3 linked regions of the Diceros bicornis minor genome follow. The protein of the gene in region 3 purifies or fractionates together with the protein of the main gene of each other region. This does not show direct contact. Links are inferred from orthologs where the notes say so. Each region holds a gene or a part of one and is shown on either strand. Other genes may lie near its edges.

Region 1 (7,344 bases), on a different chromosome or scaffold from region 3:
AGCATTCATGAGAAAGGGAAAGACATAAAGCCCCAGCAAGGGTTTATGGTACATTGATGAAAAGAGATCTCATTGAGTCCAATATTTCGAATTGGTTCTTTTTTTTTTTTTGTGCCTCTACTAGTATCTATTGCTGTATAACAAATTAACTCAAATTTAGCAGGTTAAAATAAGCAACATTATCTCACACAGTCTCTTGTGGGTCAGGGATCCAGCAAGGGCTTAGACAGGTGGTTCTGGCTCAGGGTCTCTCATTAGGTCAAGATGCTGAATGGGGCTACAGTCATCTGAAGGCTTGACTGGGGCAGGAGGAGCCACTTCCAAGATGGCTCACTCACAGGCCTGGCAAGTAAGTGCTGGTTGTTGGCAGGTGGCCTCAGTTCCTTACTATGTGGACATCTCCAGAGGGTTGCTTGAGTGTCCTCAGGATATGGCAGCTTTCTTCCCCAAGTAACCCAAAAGAGAGAGCGGTGAGGAAGCCACAACACTTCTTATGATCTTGTCTTGGAACTCACACCCTCACATCTGCCATATTCTCTTAAAGTTTAATACAAAGAATTATTAATTAGTAACAAAGTACTAAGTACTAAGTGGTAAAGACAACTCTAAAGAATACAGAAATAGCAGTTATAGGGAGCGGCCTGAGGCAGAGTACCTAAGGAAGCAACAAACTTGGAAGAGCCCGGCCACCCTCACTGCTAGGCTGAGATTCAGACTTCCTTGGAGAGAGGGTAGTTATGGCCCACTGGATGGTGAAGTTTGCTATGCTACAGATCGGGGCTGGCAAGCAGGAAACTGCCTGCTGAGGTGCCACTGAACTTGGTGGGAAGCCACCCTCTGGACGTCCCAGCCACCCGTGTGGAAGACAGGAGGATACAGTTCTGCAAACCATTTGGTGCCGTGTGCCACAAAGGCAAGAAGGACAAGAAAGTATACTGGAACCAGGAAGAGAATACTCTTCATTCAGCTGTGTTCCTCTAGAGCTCTCTATTGACAAAGTTAAACATTATGCCAGCTGGCAGAGGATAAATAAATACTGGGTTCCACTCCAGTATTTCAAAGCACGGAAAAGAAGGATGGATTTGGAGCTGAGAGGCTATAAATTAATAACAGGTGCACATATGTTCCGCTGCAGGAAAAACAATGCATTTGGTTATGCAGTGCTGTCCTAGACCCCAGTGGGAGTGTTACATTTTGTATACAGTATGTGCCCCATACTGCCTTTGTATAATCTAAACGATTCTGAATTCTGAAACATATCTGGACCTCAGGGTTTTGGTTAAGGGATCATGGACGTGTACCACTTCATTGTTAGCATGTCTTGTAAACCCCAGTGCAGAGCTATCTGAAAAACTGGCGGGAAAATATGCCTCAAAGTCTTCTGCCTTTATCTATGACCAAATCTTATCACAAGCTAGCACCAAGTGTAAAGCAATAAAAATATCTGAGCACCTATTTCTTGTTCGAGAAGAGGAGGGAGCACAGTGATAAGCCTCGGTTCAGCTTGCTCCTCATAGAGCTTGGTTAAACCTTCTACTATACACATGGCTTTTTAATCCCACTGAGCTCCTGGAATCTAACCCAATAATACTAGTATTTTTTCCTCTGAAGGTGGGATATGGTTCTAATAAAAGGATAGAAACCTTGAGTTTCAAAAAAAAAAAAACAACACCTTGAGTTACCTCCACTACAGTTCCAATGCCAAAGGCTGCAAACTCAAATATCTACATGGGTTAGGCGCACAACTTAAATGAACGAAGCACACAGTTATAAGACAACAGGGAGTGATGGTGACAGTGGAAATCTACCAAGTACATGCTTCGTATAAAGAAGGCAGTTTCTACTTAACCCCTGCTTACTGTTGCCATGCAGATCCAATATAGTCAGTCTAATTTTTCAAGAGAAGCTGGAGATTCAGATTTTAAAATGTGAAACTGTCAATTTTTAAATCAATAAAAAAGATGGTGTAGGATGAACATACATATTAGGGGATCATATTCAGCTTGTGACTCCTACCCCAACCCTATGTGCTAAGTCCTGTGGCAAGTACTGGGACCTTAGAGGTAGGTGTTGGTTGGCTGTTACAGTGGTGGTCTCTAATGAACCTCGACTCTCTGTATTCACAACCTTGTATAGTCCCTTCCCACATTGACTCTGGGCTTGCCCATGTGACTTGCTTTGGCCAATGGGACATTAGCAAGTGTGGTGCAACCAAAGGTTTGATAAGCATTTGCTCAATGAGGCTTGTCCTCTCAGAAGCTAGTCACCATGCAGAAGTTTGCATGATACGAAGCCAGGTGGAGAAGAGAGGCCCTAAAGGATGAGAAGCTGTTTTCATGAGCTCCCAGCTGACTGAAGTCCCATGAGTAACCTCAGCTTATACTATGTAGGCCTAGCTGAGTCCAGTAAACCCACACAATTGTAAAAAATAATAAACCACCGTTATTTTAAGCTACTAAGTCTTGGGGAAGTGTATTATGATGCAATAGGTAACTGAAACAGAGGTCATTAATTCTATCTCCTTTGTTTTACTAATGAATGTCCCAAGGCCCAGATAGGGGAAGGGGTCTGGTGAAATTCAGACAGCAAGTTAGTGGCAGTAACTTGCCAATTCTGTGCTCTTTCTTCCTATTGGTTTTTTTTCAATTCCCTTGGTGGAAAGCACCAGACAAGGACAATGAAACTTCAAACTCTACGTGCACGGAACCTACACTATGTCCTGCATGCATACAAATTACTGTAATAACTTGGTCCTTGGAAATGGAAAGATTTCTAGGCCATCTAGTGCCCTCACTTTACAGGTGCAGAGAATGCAAACAACTTGAGAAAGAGAAAAGCAGCCTCTGACATCTGGAAGCTGGCCTGGTACAATCAGCCAGGCTGTAATGTTACTAGATGATAGCCTGGCCTCTGTTGAACATAATTTCACAGAACATAAACATCAGATGAGGCCATTCTGTGACCATGATAGATCAAGACCAAAACAAGATCCCTCTTTAATTATATTTGAACACAGATAAAACATGAACATTGTCCAAACCACAAAAAATGACCAAACATCCCCCATCATGGCTAATGAGGGGCTCCTGCTTCTCTACCAATTACAGTTTCAGCCTCAGTCTAGTATTCCCTCCTTCCAGGTAAGATTTTTTGAGATGCCCAATCATAGAATTACCCCCACTGCCTGACAGCATCTAATCTCGAGTAAAGCCCCACTTCCTTAAACCCTCTCCCAGATCACCTCACAACTCTTGCTGAGATGCCCCAGGTTCCTCATGGTGTGTGTTGTCCCTCACTGCAACCTGTAATAAACGCAACTTGTTCAGCTATCAGTGTGTCCCTGGTGGTCTTTGGTTAGAGGGCACTGACAGACCTGACAAAGTTCACACAGAGTTGGAGGCAGAATTCATTAGAAGGAGTCTCCAGGTCTCCAGCTGTGTTCCTGCTCTTTTGGTTAATGTCTGTCTTCCCCCTACCAGAATTAAGCTCCATGAGAATAGAGGCCTTGTCTGTCATGTTCAGAACTGGTACCCGGCAGAGGCTGGAAGTTTAACAAATATTTTCCGAACGAATGAATGAGTAAGAGGGGCTCAGTATACACAGGTTCCCTTTCATCTCTCAACTCCTCAGTTCGTGGTGCATACAGACAGAACCACAGTTCACCTCCATAAACCTCTTCTCCAGCTAATCTGTAAACCCCTCACTCCTGGGGTGCCCAAACTCGCAGAGCCTCCTCCCTCGCCCGAGCTTCTCTCGCTCGCTGGCCCCCTCTCACACCTGAGCCCCAAGACCATCCCCTCCTAACGCACCTGGAACCCATCTGTCTCCAACACCTGTCCCTACCACCAGGCGCTCGCGGATCAGCCGCGCCGCTACATAGGCGTCATGTGGGCACTGCGGTCACCAACGGCGCATGTGCGGAAATCGGACGCACACGCAGGATCTCTGACAAGTGAAGAGGTGCCGCGGAGTTTCCGTCCCGGTCTGGGTAGCCTAGGGCTGCCAGGAAGTCAGGAGAAACTAGCCGGAAGGAGAGCCCGCGCGCATGGCTTTCTGGGATATGTAGTCATGGCGCTTTCGAGGTCCTACCTTGAGGGATCCTTTAATCCTTTAGGTTTGCACGTCCCGCATTCGCAGTCCCGTGCTACTTTCGGCTCAGAATTCAGCTTCTGGCTACCAGGAGAGATTGGCCTAGTGTCGGCTTCTCGTTCCCACAACGCTCTGCGGGGCCCGCGGCGCCTGCTGGGAGCTGTAGTCCTCGGTCTGCGTACTGCGTTCGCCGAGGGGGAGGGCGGAGCTGCCGGCGGCCCGGGCGGGCTGGCAGCTAGAGTGGGTGCGATAGCCGCCTCCGCCTCTGCCGCCTCCGCCGTCGCCTCCTCCGCCCGGGCCGTTCGCTGCTGCGCGGGGAGAGCGAGGCGGGGCCGCCATGGAGCCCGACTCGGTGATTGAGGACAAGACCATCGAGCTCATGGTGAGTGCGGCCCGCTGGACCGTCCGTTCTTCCGTCCGTCGGGCCCGGGGCGGGCCTGCCCATCTCAGCGTCCGGCGCAAGGCCAGCCCTGGCCCTTCCCCGCCGCCTCGGCCCCGATCTGGACCCCCCGCCTTCCCTGGCCTCGGGCCCGGCGCGGTTCCTCCGGATCCCTCGAGATCTCAGACCGGACCTGGCCCGGCCCCCTCCATGCCCCTCGGTTCTCCTCCCTCCCTCTGTCCTATCTCCGGGCCCATCTCTCGAACGACCCTCGCTCGCTTATGCTGTGGCCTTAGCTCCCCCTCGCTCTAGCATCTCATTTTCCTTCTTTTAGAAGGGGATTTTTTTCCCCCCTATTTCTCCATCCCAGGCCTGCCCCGCTCTTGGAAGCCCCACTCAGTCCGAGTGAGATGGTGGTGGGAGGGGGTACGGAGGAGATCGGACAGGGCCTGGGCCTCCGCGTCCTAGTAGGGGTCTCAGCACCCTCTCCCCAACCCAGGGCTGTGTGGATGCCAGGATAGGCCTACAGGGGTGGAGGTGGGGAGCTCTCGGGTTTGAGGCTGTGACGGATAAGAGGCCTTTTTCCCGGGCCCCTGTGGTGTCCGGCTACTTGGACAAAGGGTTTCCTAGTCGCCGAGAGGGATGTTTGCATAGCAAGGCCCCAGGTACTCTGGATTCCATCTCCCCGCAAAGCGAAACCGTCACTACACGTTTTCCAGAGCTGTTTTGGGAAATTGAGGAAGAAGGGGGAGGGGTGGTTCTCATCACTGCCGCCAGTTCTTTCTTCTTACCAAAAAAAAAAGAAAGAGAATTCTAGGCCCCTGGGGAAGCGATCACTCTTCTGTTGGAAACCATTGGTAGCCAGGCCAGACTCCCTGGCCCCACGGAAACCCCAACCCCCTTCCGCCTTAGGACTTGGAGCCAGAAGGGGTTTTTAGAAACAGGACCATGAGAGAGTGGCTTGTAGAAGCGAAGAATTTGCTACTTGGTGAATGATTTGCTGGAAGAAATAAAAAATGGCAGCTATGACCTGCCAATTTGAACATTAGGGAAATCAAACTGGGCTCTGGAGAGTTAGGAGGAGGAAGTCTTTGCCTCAGCAAATGGACATGCCCAGGGTTTCTTCCTGTGGAAACCTTGACAGTTTCTTTGTATCTCTCCTGACATAGTAACAACTTCTACCCTAGGCTTGAGAGGAAAGGTGAAAGAATCTACTTAACCCAGCGAAATGTTTTCCTAGCCAGATTTTCTCCAGTATGAAAATGTTTATTGAGTCAGTGATTCCACTGGGTAGGGTCGGTGACATCAGAGCCAGTTCCCCCATTTAATGCTATAAATAATAAATGGTGACACTGAAAGTCTGTTGGAAGCTGCATGGTTTCTGTGGATGATGGTATCTGGGGAGTTAAGATGCATGTTTTAGAAATGGAAGTACAGTAGCATCAATACAGAGGCAGGTTAATATTTGCTGTCCTTTGCATAATTCACAGAACTAGGCTTTTCCAGCATTCTTGAAAACTAGGAAAAAAAACCTCTGGTAGTTTCTGATTTGTGTGTCTGTGCATGCATGTGTGGTTGCTTTCTAAGGGATACTGTCACTTGTGAGTTTTTGGTTTTCATTCATTAAGTAATTTTTTCTTTTCAGTATAATTTATCAAACTATTATTGTAGTCAAGCCTGATATTCTGCAAATTTTGTAGTGGGTTATTTTAGTAAAATACCTTGAATGGAATGACATATATAGTACATGTACTTATAACAGGAGGAGTACTTCACATCGAAAAATTGTAACTTGGTACCTCTTTGAAATTGGCTGTTCTGTGTTCCTTCCATTTCCATTCATTTAAAAAATAACTAAAATGTCTTTATTTTCAAAAGAGTTAGAAGTGCAATGTACTCCATTTAGTGTCTTTGAGTGTATGGTAAAAAAATCTATGGCCTACGTTTACTGGCTTCCTATGCTCATAACTTAAAAAAGTTTTGATTTTACATGATAGTACTTGTCTATGATCTGAAAAGATATTTCAAGGGCGTAATAAAGTGAGATTCTTAGAAAATTTAACAGAGTTTAGTGGTTATCTAGATCAGTTTTAAAATGGCTTTTCAGCGGCCGGCCCGGGGGCGCAAGCGGTTAAGTGTGCGCACTCCACTGCCGCAGCTTGGGGTTCGCCAGTTCGGATCCCAGGTGCGCACCGACGCGACGCTTGGCAAGCCATGCTGTGGCGGCCTCCCATATAAAGTGGAGGAAGATGGGCACGGATGTTAACCCAGGGCCAGTCTTCCTCAGCAAAAAAAAAAAAAAAAAAAAAAAAGAGGAGGATTGATAGATGTTAGCACAGGGCTGATCTTCTTCACACACAAAAAAATAAAATGGCTTTTCATATGCAGATTTTGGTATTCCCTCAAAGGGATACCAGTTAAGACTCTTAGGCAACCCTTTTCATAAATGTATATGTATTTTAGTGTCGTAGATAGCACAGGTACTTAACAAGTGATGTAGTAAATCTAGCATCAGATGTAGGAATGATAATACCTTAAAATCGAATTGCATGTGGTTTTCTGTGCTCACTGCATTTTAATTACTGTTTCCAGAACTAGGTTAAAAATATTTTTTTATATTGGTTTCAAAATAACATGATTGAAGGAGGGGAGGGGGTTAAACTGATGGCATTTTGAAAGCCTAAAGCATGAAATATTTTTAGATTTTTATGAGTCAGCTTCAATACTCAAATATTTGTGATTGTGCTGCCTGTACCAGTTTGGTACTTAATGGTTAACAGGATAACTTTCATTTGATATTCTAGAGCGGGCTGTATTAAAGAGATGAAACAGACTTCTTGGGTATCTCCAATTTCTTAATCTTCATCCTTCTACTC
Region 2 (7,900 bases), on a different chromosome or scaffold from region 3:
CAACTATCTACTGGGGCTTTGGCAAAAAAAAAAAAAAAAGGAGGAGGATTGGCAATAGACGTTAGCTCAGAGCCGGTCCTCAGCAAAAAGAGGAGGATTAGCACAGATGTTAGCTCAGAGCTGATCTTCCTCACACACACAAAAAAATAATAATAATAATATCATTTGTGTCTAGAAGTTAAACCTCCTGCTTAAACTATTTTTCACAAGTATGCAAGGGTAAACTTTAAGCCTAGAGCATGTATGAATTATGTTCAACTCGGAATTAGTAGTTCCGAGTTCAACTCGGTAGTCTCATTAATAAGATTATATTGTAAAATTCCTAATCAAAGCACCATATTAATGTGGTAATGAGAAAAATTCATGAAAGAGAATATCCACTACATGTTGGCATTTTAAACAAATTTTACATTTTCTTAAACTGGAAATCAGGGTATCCGTACAAAAACTGCCATTCACAATTCACAGCTGAAGGAAGAGGTAAGGCCAAAACACAGGCAAATACTATACAAAAATTTCAACTTGATTAAAAGGATAGCCCTTCCATGTGTACTGTGCACTAATTACTTGGTGCAAGCACAAATAAAATATCTTCCTATCTCAAAATTGATTCTGAAGAAACCAACATGTTATAGCAGGGTAAATGGGACCAAAGGCAAGTTGTGACTTACTCAGATTCATAATAAGACTGTTACTGAGCTGAGAAAGAATACCAAATCTCTAACTCTCCATTCTTTGCTTCAGTTATTAAGGTGTCATTCTTGGTGACCCTCTTCACATTGGCCTTTTCTCAAACAGCAGCCACAATAGCAGGCAAGGTCAAAAATGAAAGTAACTAAAATTAAAGAAAAAATTGGCTTCTCCCTATGGAAACTGACTCAACATTTAATAATGTGTGGTGCCCTAAAAGCTGCAAACTACTACATGGCAATCTCCAGGTCCACTTTAACTCAGTCAGGAGACCATTATCGAAACATAACTCACTGGTACAAAGCAGAGATCAAGTAGTTGAGAACGTCCTAGGCTGAGGTCTAATGGGGAGTAAAGAAGATGATCTCATAATGTCTCTTTATGATCTGTAAATCACACATTATTCCATAAATCTGACACAAGTGTCAAGATTAGGATCGAGTCAGCCTTTAAACAGGAAAACAAAAATAAGCAGCTGCCACTTTTCTGACTTAAATCTAGAAGCTGGCTTGAGATATAAAGCAGCTTCTTCTTACTTCTGGAGTGCAAAAAAATTTCAAAGTCTCTTCTTAATATTTTAGAATTTCATCATTGGGCAAAAATTCAAGAACCTTCTTCAGGCCTAATGGAATTTTGTTAATGATACACTCAAACTTTAGTTAGGTGTTTCTGAAAGTACTAATACAAAATAAATAAAGTTTTAGTAAAAAAGTATTCTTGTAAATGGGGCAGTTTAAAGCCTGAATTCAATTAGGTTAGTGTCCATATTTATTTAGATTTGTTTTAGTATTTCAGGCAAAGATACAAAATAACAACTAACAAAGAAATAAGATTTAGAGTGACAAGTTACAATCACGTCTGAAAAAGCACGATGCAACTGTAAATAATATCAATGTCCCTGAGATCACCTGTTAAGATAGAAGTCTATGCATCCCATCACTCTTTAGCTGTAACCATAAAGTCTGGTTTTACACCTAGGATATACAAGAACCATCAGATCAAACACATCAAATATCAGACTATACAAACATAAGCATAGCAAAAGAAAAGCATGATACAAAGTTAAAGAACTAGGTTCCAAAGGATTTAAACACACCCACAAAATCCAATCCAAGCTCATACTGTGCTTCAACTTAAAACTGATAAGTAACCACCAATCTTGATATCTCCCATTCCCCACTATCTACATTCCCCCTTTTATCTCCTGAATTTCTCTACTGATCTCATCACTTCTTATGGGTCTTGCGATTCTAATCTCTACAGCCTTTCCTTTCCCAGAAAGTGATACAGCACCTGGGCCCCACATTTTACTAGCTCTACAATTTAGCAATAGTTTTGTTTTGTTTTCCCTATTAGATATGAATTTTGCCCCCAATCTCCTGTACCCAGGTTTTCCTGACCAATCCTCTTGCTTTTCATTACCTCGTCGGTACTACAATATTTAGCCTCTCCTTTCTAAGTAGAGTATGTATCCCTTTTCTGACATTTGTAATCCTGGCTCATGGTTAACATCCCTTTCCTTTCCCAGAGACTGTCACCATAGCCCTAGGTCCCCATCCCCAGTCCTTATCTTCCTAAGTAAGGCCTCTTCCTTTCCGGAGTTTGTCAACATTAGTTTGGCCAAGCTGCGATTGCATCCTGAAGGCAAAAGCTCTCTCTCCTCCGTCATTCTACAAAACTACAAGTCTCCCACCAGCCCTGGCTTTCTCTCCTCCACCCTTAGATCCACCTGCATCCAGCCCTGCCCGTTTTCCCCTACCCCTACTCGCAATATCTTTCCTCCCACTATCCCGCGCTCCCCTTCCCCACTCCTGAATGCACCTCTTTCCCAGGCCTTACCCGTAACCCTGACACCGAGAAGGCCCTGTCAGCGGCCTCACGGCGTCTCTCCTCCCGGCTTCCTCCGCTCTTCAGTAACTGTCCCCACGCACCTTTCACTCCAGGGCCCCGCGCGCCACCCAGAGCCCCCTCCCCGATTAAGCTCCCGCTGTCACTTGGCCTCTCATCCACAAGATGGCGGAACTGCTGCCCCCACCCCCGGGTCCTCTCCGCAACCTCCTCCCGCCTCCCTGGAGCTGCCGTCCCGTCCCGTCCTTTCAGCCGCCCCCGCCGCCGGTCTCTGCCCAGGGTCCCGCTGCCCGCTCCTCCGGCGGGTGGGCGGCCCAGGCCCGAGCCTCAGCGACGCTGCCAACGCCACCGCCTCCACAGTTTCCCGGCCTGCCCCTTCTCCTCACCATAAACTTGAGCGCTTTCTCCTGCAGCACCGCCTCGGCCGGGTCCATAATCGCCGGGGAACACTGGGTCTGCACTCCGCCGGGGCCGCCCCCTTGGTGCCAGGCCGCAGCCAACGCAGCTCCCGGATCCCGCCTCCTCTTCCTTCCCCCCGCCCTCTCTTACCTTTCAGGCACCGGCAGGGGGGCCAGGGAGGACCGGCTGTCCTGTGCGCATGCGTGAGCCCTCTGGCTCACGGGATTTGTAGTTATGGAGCTTCCCGCAGCAAAAAGTGAGTCCACACCGCGAACTGCAACTCCCGCAGTTCACTGCGGCAGGGTCGCGGGATCGAAAAGCCAAATCTAAACACTCGCCGGCAAGCAGAGATAATCAGCTGATGGGAATCGTAGTTTACAGCCTCTACGGAGCGGCACGGCTGTCTCCGTGGTTACCGAAAGACGCCAGTGACGGCTTGCCTGGTATTTGATATCGAGATGGCGACGAGTGCCTCACCTTAAGCCCAAATACTGGAAAAAACTGTGAAAGGACTCAGAGGTCCTAGCCCCTCCCTAACTGTGGTTTTAGAGAACTGGACAGCCCCAAATTTCATATATCTGGCGTCTGCAGGACGGATTTTGACCCAGAGACGCTGGGCCTATGGGCACCTGGCAGGACTTCGCAGACCAATGCAAAATTTCAAGGTCCTGCTAAGCCATTGCTTCACATTTCTCCCGAGGACCTTATTCTCCCCCACAGCAAGTCACGGCCAGATAGAACTCGGTTCCGGAAATTCTCGATGTTTAGCTCTCAGAAAGCATGACCTGCTACTGCTAACCCTGAGAAGTGAGCCCTGCATTAAATGTCAAACAAGTACTTACAAAAGGCCTTCAATGGTGGAATATAATCGCCATCCAGCAAATAAAGCATGTAAGTATTTAGTCTAGCCTTGAAAGGGACAGTACGAATTTATTTTGGAAATTAGGTCTACTCTAGGTGGAAAAAACACTAGGGTTGGGCTAAAAGTGATAGGCATGTACAAAATATCTGAATTTATAAAATAAGTGTATTAGGGAAATTCCTTTTTACTTATAGGGAAAATTTCCATTGTAAACTATTTTATTCATTCATTCGTTCAACAAACTAAGCATATAATTGTGTGCAGACATCATCCCAAGAAATGAGGATTCATTAGTGAACATGATAGACAAAGACTTGTGGAGCTTACGTTTCTAGTATGCTGATACTTTGTCCTAGTCATCCCTATGTCCACAGAACTCAGCAGAATACCTAATATATAACAGGCTTTCAGTTGATAAAAAGTCTTACTTTTTAATTTCAAAGAAAGAGTTCTACACAAGTACAAAATGGAGAAGACTTAAAGCTCATTCGTATGAAAACTACCTGGAAGTTTTCGTAGGATTAAGGCAGGATGTGACACTGTTGCCAAAAAAGCTAAAGGAGTCCTAGGCAGCTTGAAGAGCAATGTCTAGGGAATAGAGGCTTATGGTCTTACTGGAGTACTTTGTTCAGTTATGGGCACCATGTTCTACAAACATCATATGCAGGGTCATAGCCAAGGGCAGGATAACCAAGAGAGAAAATATTGGTGGATGCTTACTCTGAAAAAAGAGCGCTTAGGAATAACACGACAACTAAATTTAAGTGTTTGAAAGTATTGAAAGGCATATGTATGTAGCTCCAGAGGGCAGACTCGGACCAGTGGGTGGGATAATGATGACGATGATAATTATCACTTCATTAGCTCTTTGTGCCAGGCACTGTATTAGGCATTTTGGCTTCATAATCTCTAATATTCATAGTAACTCTGTAAAACAGGTATTATTATCTCTAATTTACAGATGAAGTTAATGGGACTGATAGAAGATAAAGGGCCGGCCCCGTGGCTTAGCGGTTAAGTGCGTGCGCTCCGCTGCTGGCGGCCCGGGGTTCTGATCCCAGGCGCGCACCGACGCACCGCTTGCTGGGCCATGCTGAGGCCACGTCCCACGTACAGCAACTAGAAGGATGTGCAGCTATGACATACAACTATCTACTGGGGCTTTGGGGGAAAAAAATAAATGAATAAAATTAAAAAAAAAAAAGATAAATAACTTGCTCGAGTCATACAGCAAATTACGTAGTCAGGATTCTAACCCAAGTCTGCTTGACTCTAAGGCCTGTGCTATTTTCACTGAAGCACACTGCAGTGACATAGTACTCAGACTCAGAGCTTTCTAGTAATCAGAGCTGTCCTGACAAAGGAAGGGACTGCCCCATTCCTGAAAACATATAGAGGAAAACCATCTATCAGGGGTATTTTCTAGGGGGTTTCAGTTTGGGTGGGAGGTTAAGATCTTTTAAACTTTAAGATTCCATTCTGTTGAGAAGTCGTTTGTTTTACTTTGTTATGCATAGAGGAGTATGAAAATATTGACTGTTGAGGCTGGCAGTCAGTGAGGGTCCTCACTTTTTCTGGTCATGTGGAGGTAAGGATTAGTAAGGCAAATACAAGAAGTTATTGTTTAGAAGCCCAACCAGCTAGACAGTTCATATGTATACAGATTGAAACTGAGCAGGCAGGGGCTGGGTACAGAAAGGGTAAATCCTCTTTCTTGAAAATTGACCACTGTGGTCAAACAAACTGAGAAATCCAACTATGAATTACCTGTGAAGTCCCTCATATCCAACATAGTTTAGGAAAGTTTATTAGACTAGAAGTTGAGGCCTGGTTCTAGCCCATCCTTTCTCTAGTTAATTGGTTGACTTTGGGCAATTTAACTGGACCTCTTTTGTCGTGTGGAACACAAAGATCTCTGCCAACACTAAAATGGGTGCACCTCTGAGCCGACTTAAAGCTTAGTTGCTCAAGGAGAATACTGAATCATTAGAACCTTTAAAGCTCCACTTTACTGGAAAACTAGATTTCCAGCGTGAGAAATCGCAGCTACTATTGGACTTAATTTCTTCCCCTAACTTCCTAGTGTAAGACCACAGAGTACTCTGACTTATCCTTGTCTATTAGTGTCTGTATCCAGCCAGTAATCTATCAAAATGTCTCTTCCAGCCTCCACCGCCCATGGTAGCCTGTTCCGGACTCCCTTCATCTTTTTTTTGCTTAGTTCACTATATTCACCTCCAATCCAGTTCTCTGACTCCAGGCTCTCTCTGTCCTCCTCATCTGATAATCTCTTTTAGATTTCACTTTCATCACATTTCTTCACTGCTCAATCCTTTTATGTCTCTCTTATCTACTTTATCATTGTTTAAATTCCTTTGTCTGGTCTTCCAGACCTTCTTAATCTTATCCAATCCTCTCTCTCCCGCCTTACTTCCCACTTTGCTTTAATACACCCCTCTGCTTCAATCAGGCCTTTCTCCCACCCACACCTGCTCAGCACATTCCTGCCTCCTGGCCTTGGCTTGTGGGAGTCATTTTGCCCTTCTAGAAGACTTCCCTTTCCCCCTCTTTTCTACTCGTGTTTCCAGGTCTGATTTAAATCTTACTTTAAAAAAATAGTTATCTAGTTATTTATTCCCTTTTAGCGCCTTAGCCTGCTCCCTTTTCCCTCCTCCCATAGGCAATGTTTATCTTTTTGTTTGTATGGTTCTTGAAAAATAGATATTGTTTTGTGTGCTACATTTTTAACTCACAAATGTAATATTGTTTTATGTATCTCATTATGTTTCATACTTTTTGCACCCATTACCTATGGTTTTAAGATCCATTCATGTTGCTATATATGTGTACATATAACCGGTTGCTTCTAACTGCTGAGTAGTAGTCTGATGGTGTGTACCCCCCATGTTCTGCCTATCCACTGTCCCAGCAAAACTTCCAGTTCCCAATTACCCCCAATAATGCTGCAGTGATCAACCTCCTGCATGCCCCCCTGAGTGAGAATATCTTTGGGAATACATACCCAAGATCATACTTGCTGGTTCATAGGCTATGGAGGACACTTAATTGGACTATGTAGTGGCAAATTGCAGTACAGAAAGACCACAACAGTGTACACTTCCACCATACCACTCCACCACACTTGGCATTATTGGGCTTTCCACTTTTTGCCAGTCTGTATGTTTTACCTTCTCTAGGCAACCCCAACCCACAAGGATCATGCCCTTCTTTAAGCACACTACTCTGCTCTTCTACCCCCCATCTCCGTAGCATGTGATTATAACACATAGCAGGCCAGAGCCAGAAATATTCCATACATGCCTGCACTTTTTTCTCATCCCATGGCATTCCCTTTTCCTATACCTAGTGGGGTTCTCAACCCTGATTGCACAGAGGAATCATTTGAGGAGCTTTATGAAAAATATTGATGCCCAAGCTCTACCCCCCAGGTATTCTGATTTAATAGCTTTGTGGTAGGCCCTTGGCAATGGTAATTTTAAAAGATCTCCAAGTAATTCTAATCTGCAGCCAGATTTGAGATCACTGCCTTGGAGTTTAGATGCCCAGTGCCTTCTTGCTGACCTCTAGCTATCCAGAGTCTCCCTCCGTGCCCATCTTGCCTTCCAAACTCTAGAATTACCGCCCCCCCCCAAAACCCATCTATTTTCCAAGGATAGCCAGTCGAAGCTCAAGGTTGAACAGAAGCAAAGTGATTAATTGGTTTAAAACCCATCAACTATTTGAATATCTAATAGGCTTAATCCTAGGGTCAAGAGGTCCAATAGAAGTGGGAAAGGTTTTTTGTATTTTAATTGGCAGGAGAGATAATGTTTTAGTTGGAGGACTAAATAAAGAATTTTTCCCCCTTCCCCTCACTTCCTTCTCCTCATAAAAGGTCACGAGTCAATTTCCTACTTCTTTGCTGGCCCTATTGGGTCTCTGTGTTCTTGTGCCTAAGTGTAAGGAGTCATTATTAACAGTGAACTGTGATCCAGATTAGGTTCCCTCAACAGAAGCTCCCACTGTCACAGGCCAAAGCCAACCATATCTGGATAGAGCACTCAGTCTCCTTCAGGGCAGCTCTGTGGAGTGGGGATTGGG
Region 3 (7,013 bases):
TCTTGTCTCTTCAACCTGAAAATAGGGATCAAATCTTAAACCTCTTTTTCTTCCCTAAAAAATCAGCAAAGCATTGGGTCCTCAAAACTATATTTTAGAGGATCTTTGCATTTACACAAAATCCAGTTACTAAAATAACAATCTAAAAGCAACACACACACATACAATGAGTAGCTAAGCAATAAGCTGCCATAAGAATCAGACTAAGTCCTGTTGGGATGATCTTTTTTAGTTTCCTTTGATAGTTGGATCCCATAACTAATAATGTAGTTACGTTCCAGCATATGTTTTCTGTGCTTCCTGCTTTATATAAGTACTTTGTCACCTCATTTACTTTTCTGTCTCAACTAAGCATGGCTCTCAGTGGTCAGCACACGTACTCATTTCTCAACTGAATTATCTTTTCCACATTGAAGCCTCTCCAATCTTTTTATCTATTAATTTCACTGATTGGGAACCACTGTTATGGCGTAATTAAAATTCTAATAAATGGTGCTGCTATAACTACGCAGTTCTTTTACACATTCTAAATGTTTCCTGTGATTTAGCACTCTTCAAGTAAAACTGATTCAAATTAAAATGTTACAGAAATAATTCAAATCCATCAAAGCATTCACAAAAGGAAACACGATGCATTTAATAACGAAGGAGTATATGTACTTAAATTCTAAAAATTTCCAAACTCCCCAAAAGTTTAGATTTTTTAGCTTTGATCCTTTGACTTTTTATTTTGATATATTCTAAAAATTAAATTTCATTACCTTAAAATACAATCTGTTCATGTTAACATACATGTTAACTATTAACACTTTTCCCCAAAAAAGCTGAAGAAAGTGCACACATACAAATCGAACGAGTATTTATTTCATCCCCAAACAAGTATTTTCACTGATAATATATTTATATCTTTTCAGGTCACAATTTTTATATAAAAAGAAAAAATTGAGATTTTTATAAAACTATCAAAAAGAAATCCGCCAGAATGTGACTGTTTCTGATTACATTAGAACCTCTCATTAAGGGTTCTGAAATTCAAAAGATTTTTTCCCAGAGTTAGGAAACTCCATAATGTAACACTCTAGTCTCCATCACTCCTTAGTGGTACCTAACACTGCTGAGATTTTAAAGATGAACCATCAAAACGGCAGAGGAAGGCAAAAATGTCAATATACACCTTACAAGGACTGCAAGGAAACGTCTCACAATTCGAATGGAACAGAGATAGACATGAACAGTTCAGCTTTTTCCACTTCCCCATCTGAAAAAATACCAAAATAAATCTGGATGCAAAGCTACCGCACGGTTACAAAGCCCCTGGCTACCAGTGACGCCTCAGCTCTAGCGGCGCTAGGGCACTCTATTACACTCAGCCGGCCACGTGGCTGTCACAATCACAAGGAAGACAGGAGAAACAGCAGAAACTATCCTGGAAATAAATAACCGACTTCCTCCTCCAACCTCAGAGTTGGGGTAGAAGAAAGAAAATCTGTGTCATTTCTTTGTACGCTACGACTTTTTCCTGTAAGGAGAAAACGAAGTACAGCGGCTGTTTTAAAGAAACTTTAAAGCAGAAATCAGGTCCAAGAAGATCCCGAGAGTGTGCCCCAATGAATTAGATACCCCAACTCCCGCGAGCTGCGGTGGAAACAGAGGCATTCTGCAAGGGGGTAGAGTTGAGTAAAACAGGAGGCTGAAGAAGCACGCACATGGGCCGCTTTCCCCGGACTCCCGCCGTCCTCCCGGGTTCCAGACTCCCTGCTGCGGCGGTGGGGCGAACTCAGAAGGCTGCGGACCTCCCACACGCCCTCACGACCTCTCACCCTCCCAGGAGAGAGGAATGAAGGGCAGAGGCACCCACGGGCCCGAGAGCGGCGGCGAACAGGAAGTGTCCATATTGCAGCGCTGAAACACTAACTCCCACCCCAGCAAGACAGCCACCCTCGGAGGCCCCAGGGCGCCCGCTGGAGGAGGGGCCGCAGGGTGCCGGGGTCGGCCACCCCACATCCGGAACCCGCCCCTGTCCACCCCTGCGCCCCGCCGCCCCGCTGCTCAAAGTTCAGTCCCGACCGCGCTCGGCGCCTCCCCGGGCACTACCTGGCCGGGCCCAGCCAGTCCGCCTGGGGCCGGACCAGGACTCCACGCCCGGCAAGTGTCGCCGCACTCAGGCGGGGGAGGGGGCGCTGCAAAGCCTCCCGAGGGGCTTGGGGCACTTCCCCTCACAGCAGACCCGCCCCGAGTCGAGCCCTAAGCGTCACGAGCCTTCCCGGAGACCTGCACCCCTCGCCGCGGTTTCCGCCGCGCGACACCGCTCCTGGGCGGTCATTACCTCTCAGGAAAAACTCCCAACTCCTCACGGGGCCGCCCTCCCCGCAGTCGACACGCCCCGGGAGCCCACACACGACTCAAGCCGCGCGCAAGGGAGACCTCCGCGCCGGCGCCAGCTCCTCACGGGACAAAAATGTCCGGGCGCGTCACGGGACGGCCGCCTCCGCGCCCCACGCCCGGCGCCGGCCGCACGCGCTGCCTCCGCGCCCGGGAGCGGCGCCGCGGGCCGGGGCGGGGAGCGCGAACGCCGGGCGGCGCGGGCCCCGGAGAGCACCGCTCCGCCCGCGACTCACCGTCAGCTCGGCCGCCGCAGCGGGGAGGCGAAGGACGGGCAGGGGAAGACACAATATGGCAGAGCGCCACAGCTGCTCCGGCGGCTTCCAGCAGCCGCCTCCGGCGAGACGCGGCACCGAGCAGGCAGCGGCAGCTGCGGTGGCGGCCGCGGAGCACCACATCCCCCTCCCGCTCGCTTCCTCTCCCTTTCCCCGCCCTCCCCCGCTGCCGTGGCAACGCGGCGCCAAGGAGATTAGCCCCGCCCCTCCCGCCCGTCCCCGCCTCTCGCGACCCCTCGGGAGGGGGGCTCGGCCCGCCCCGCCCCGCCCCGTCCCCTCCCCTCCCACCTCCTACCGAAGGGCCGGGCCCGGGACCCCGCAGGCTGCCCAGAACAGCGGGTGGGGAAGGAAGGGGGATGCGGTGTCCGGAAGGGCGGGGCTCGCACGGAAGGCAGGGCGGAGACGTTGTAGGCTAGCCGGTTTCAGGCTGACAGGCTGGGGAAGGCGGGAAAATGGAAAGGCCTCGCCTGTCCCAGGAACGACCTATAGGAGTGCGGCGGGGCGCGGCGCGGCCTCTGAGTGGCCGAGATGGCAGGGGGCGGGGCGAAGCGGGGCGGGGCGAGAGTAGTCGCCCGGGGCGCTCGGCCCCGGGTGCCTGTTCTGGGAGCGCAGTGAAGCCCCAGCTTTTGTGGGCTTCCCCAAGCGCTTTCCGCCGTTGGCCAGGCTTTGAAAGCGCTTTAGGAACGGTGAAGCACTAATGTAAACTTAAAGTATTATTACCCTCTCTTGACTGAAGTTTTATCTGGAAACTGAGTTCAGCGTGTTTGTGGTAATAAAAAAGGACTTTGGAATCAGATCCAAAATTTAATAAGTATAGCATTTACAGAGCGCTCGCTAAGTGCTAGGGACGGAACTAAGTCCTTTACATGCATTTTCATAACCATAATGCTAAGATGGCGTTGCCAGGTAAAATACAGGAGTGCCCAGTTAAATCTGAATTTCAGATAAACGTAGAATAATTGTTTAATATAAGAATGCTCCATTTGAGATATACTTCCTCGTTTGTTTTGTTTTATTGTTTTGTTTTTTTTGTTTTTTGCTAAATCTACCAACCCTATACTAACTTACAGAATTCCCACTTTACAGGTAAGGAAACTGAGGCTTAGAAAAATAACCTGTCAAATATAAGGTAAGTGGCAGAACTAAGCCTCCATTTTACTATCACTATGATCCTGATAGTTAAGTCTCTGAATATCTATATCTACATCTTTAAAAACTAGAGTGGTGATACCTATCTCACAAATGTGTTGAATGAATTAAAAGAAAATGTGTATGAAAGAGACTTGACTGATGCATTGTAGGTGCTAACAGAAGTTCATTTCCTTCCTGAACAATGACTGTTAACTGGATATTCACTATGTGCCAGGCTCTGAGTATAAAGTGAGCTGAGTGAAACAGGCTGCCTGCCGATAATAAAGCTGTGGGGATGACAGAGATATACAAGAATTACAGGCGTCAGAATATATAAAAACAAAAATGGAAGTGTTCGACCCACATTCTACAGATGAAAACGCATTTATATGATTTATCCAACATCATCTACTAGTTCTATTTGTTTTTCATTACACTGTCCTGAAGGGCCTCACAGCTGCGTTCAGAGTAAAAGACCACAAGGCAAATGTACACTGTGCTTCAACTGAAGTAAGAGTTGCTTTATTTTCTCCCTTCACAGCGATCACCCTTGCCCCCTCATGTGGACAAATTGAAGGAAGTTCCTGGAGGAAGAGTGTAGTAGAAAGGGAGCAGAGGAGAGAAGGAAGGGAATAGTGAGAGAAAGTGGCTTCTGGAGAGCCACAGCTTCCTCAGACCTCAGTCTTGTTTTATCTCTTCTGGCCACTGTCAGAGTGGCCACTAACATAATACAGGTCTTCATCTCCTTGCAGATTATTGTACTCATATCTTACCTGATATATTGAACTTTAGTTTCTATTTTTCCTTCTAAACTCTTTTAAACTCAGGTGGGCAAACAGTCCTCCTCAACTCTAAAAGAATCACAGAATTTGAGAACTGGAAGCTATGTATACTTTAGAGGTATATCATCTAGGAGCCCAATCTATCATGGATGCAAAAACAAATCCAGAAAAGATATATAACTTGTCCAAGGTCAAATAATGAATCTACTGCAACCTAAATTCCCTCTACTGGTCATCTCTATTGACTGATTTACCACAGAGAGGCTGGGCATGTTTAAATAATCTCTGCGGGTAAGGCTCACATCTCCTAGGAAATCTGTCACACTTAGTTTAGAGTCCAGGGACACTTGTATACTTAGAGGCTATTTTAGAGGACTTTGAACACCTACCAAGGAAAAGTTCTGATTAAAAATAATGATGGTTCAGAATGAGTAACTTTTCCCAGGAGTTTTCAAAAGTAAAAAGGCTAGGAAACCAGAGCTTAAGTCTTTAGGAAAAAGAAGATCCTGGTATTTAACATCTCTTATGAAGCCTGTATTCTTCCTTCTCCAAAATACTTTAAAGGAACGTATTCAATAGTAAACTTTACTGGAAGACAAATGCATTTAAAAATATATTATTTAAGGGCCAGCCCAGTGGTGTAGCAGTTAAGTTCAGGTGCTCCGCTTCAGCGGCCCAAGGTTCACAGGTTCAGATCCCAGGCGCAGACCAATGCACCACTTGTGAAGCCATGCTGTGACAGCATCCCATGTACAAAATAGAGGAAGATGGGAATGGATGTTAGCCCAGGGCCAATCTTCTTTAGCAAAAAGAGGAGGATTGGCAATGGATGTTAGCTCAAGGCTAATCTTCCTCACACACACACACACAAAATATATATATTTAAACTATATACATATATAGTTTAAACAGTTAAAAAAATATATATATTTAAACTATATATATAGTTTAAAATGCCCTCATATTTAGGCTGAATGGTGATAGGAGCTCAAATATACATATTTATATTTTAAATGTATTTATCATTGTGTTACAAATATTTAACAAAAGACTTTTTGATCATAAATTAATGATTCCAAAAATAACCAGTTTACCAATAAGGAATGTAGACTTCAAGCACCTTAGGTCAATAACCGTGTCTTTTGCATCTTTATAGTCTAATTTCTTAGAACAGCTTTTGGGACAGAGGTGATGTTCAATAATATTTGTTAATAAAAGAAGTAACTTTCCTCAAATTATGTGATGCCAGGACTAGGATACAACATTTCTAAATATTGGTCTGCCGCTTGGGTTAAAAGGTGAAATTGTGAATGAAAGTCTAATTTTTTTTTCCTTCAAGGATCTTTTTCAATGCACTTCTTAAGAATAACTACCTATATTTTATTAATAATATCTATGTTTCTATACTCCCTGGTATTGGCAATAATTTGGACAAGTCCTCCTGCTGAGTACACTAGAACAACTTAGCAAAATATAAAAAATATCAGCTCAAAGGCACCAGAGAGCTAATACGATAGTAATTACCAGGCCATGATCTGAGCAATGATAGAGGCCCAGGGAAGTCCATTTATCCTTTCAGTGAGGGTTGCTCTGTTGAACTCTGTCAAAGCTACCTTGCTTTGGAAGAGGAAGCCAAATGGCTACATCCTAGAAGTGAAAGGATGACATCTCAGTTTCAAATCATCTCAACTCTGAGATTGGATTAGGGTAATTCCTTTGAGCTAATGCCCCCAAGCCCTTGGCAGAAGCAAACTAAAATCCTGTCTGTAGTAAAGTAATATTCTAGGCCTTAAATCATTTCCACAAACAATTTTGCAAATACAATGTCTAGTACACAGTAAGAAATAATCAGTCACACAAAGAAACAAGAAAAACAGCAGAAACAATAGAGAACAAAAACAGACCCAAAAGGGATTCAGAGAGTGAAATTATCAGACACAGATTTAAAAATAACAATGCTTACTGTGCATAAATAAAACACAAGATTAAAAATTTAGGCAGATAATTAAAATCTGAAAAATGAATCAGATGAAAATTTTAGACCCCAAAAATTCACTAACTGAAAATAACAGCTCAGTGATGGGTATAACAGCATATTAGACACAGGTAAAGATAGAATTAGTGAACTAGAAGATAAGTAAGAAGATAGTACACAGAATGAAGCACAAAGAAGAAAAAGGATGGAAAATACAGAATACAGGGAAAGTACATAGAAGATACAGTGATAAAGTTTAATATGCACATAACTAGAATTCCAGAAGAAAAAAGAAAAGACAGTATTAGGAAGAAATAATATTTGAACAAATGAATCCCAGCAGGATAAAATGTTTTTAAAATGCACACAATTGACACAAAGACAGATCAAGAAAAAACTGCTAAAATCCAAAGACAAAGAGAAAATTCTTAAGAGGAGCCAGAGAAAATAAGAGTTGACCTTTAAAGA

What was found.
Region 1: the proteins of FOXN2 (region 3) and FBXW11 purify together in Homo sapiens (affinity purification with mass spectrometry; 3 studies listed by BioGRID and IntAct, counting the BioPlex papers as one, with this or other methods). This does not show direct contact. The link is inferred for Diceros bicornis minor from reciprocal best matches to the Homo sapiens genes FOXN2 and FBXW11.
Region 2: the proteins of FOXN2 (region 3) and BTRC purify together in Homo sapiens (affinity purification with mass spectrometry; 3 studies listed by BioGRID and IntAct, counting the BioPlex papers as one, with this or other methods). This does not show direct contact. The link is inferred for Diceros bicornis minor from reciprocal best matches to the Homo sapiens genes FOXN2 and BTRC.

What each region holds. Positions count from the first base shown.
Region 1 is NC_080740.1:85,984,188-85,991,531, reverse strand, and holds the start of FBXW11 (F-box/WD repeat-containing protein 11), read left to right. Parts: upstream 1-4,317; 5' UTR 4,318-4,426; coding exon 4,427-4,471; intron 4,472-7,344.
Region 2 is NC_080745.1:66,481,083-66,488,982, reverse strand, and holds the start of BTRC (F-box/WD repeat-containing protein 1A), read right to left. Parts: upstream 3,050-7,900; 5' UTR 2,973-3,049; coding exon 2,925-2,972; intron 1-2,924. UniProt on the Homo sapiens protein: Substrate recognition component of a SCF (SKP1-CUL1-F-box protein) E3 ubiquitin-protein ligase complex which mediates the ubiquitination and subsequent proteasomal degradation of target proteins. Recognizes and binds to phosphorylated target proteins.
Region 3 is NC_080751.1:37,249,477-37,256,489, forward strand, and holds the start of FOXN2 (forkhead box protein N2), read right to left. Parts: upstream 3,026-7,013; 5' UTR 2,953-3,025; intron 2,756-2,952; exon of another isoform or gene 2,619-2,755; intron 2,430-2,618; exon of another isoform or gene 2,327-2,429; intron 1-2,326. UniProt on the Homo sapiens protein: Binds to the purine-rich region in HTLV-I LTR.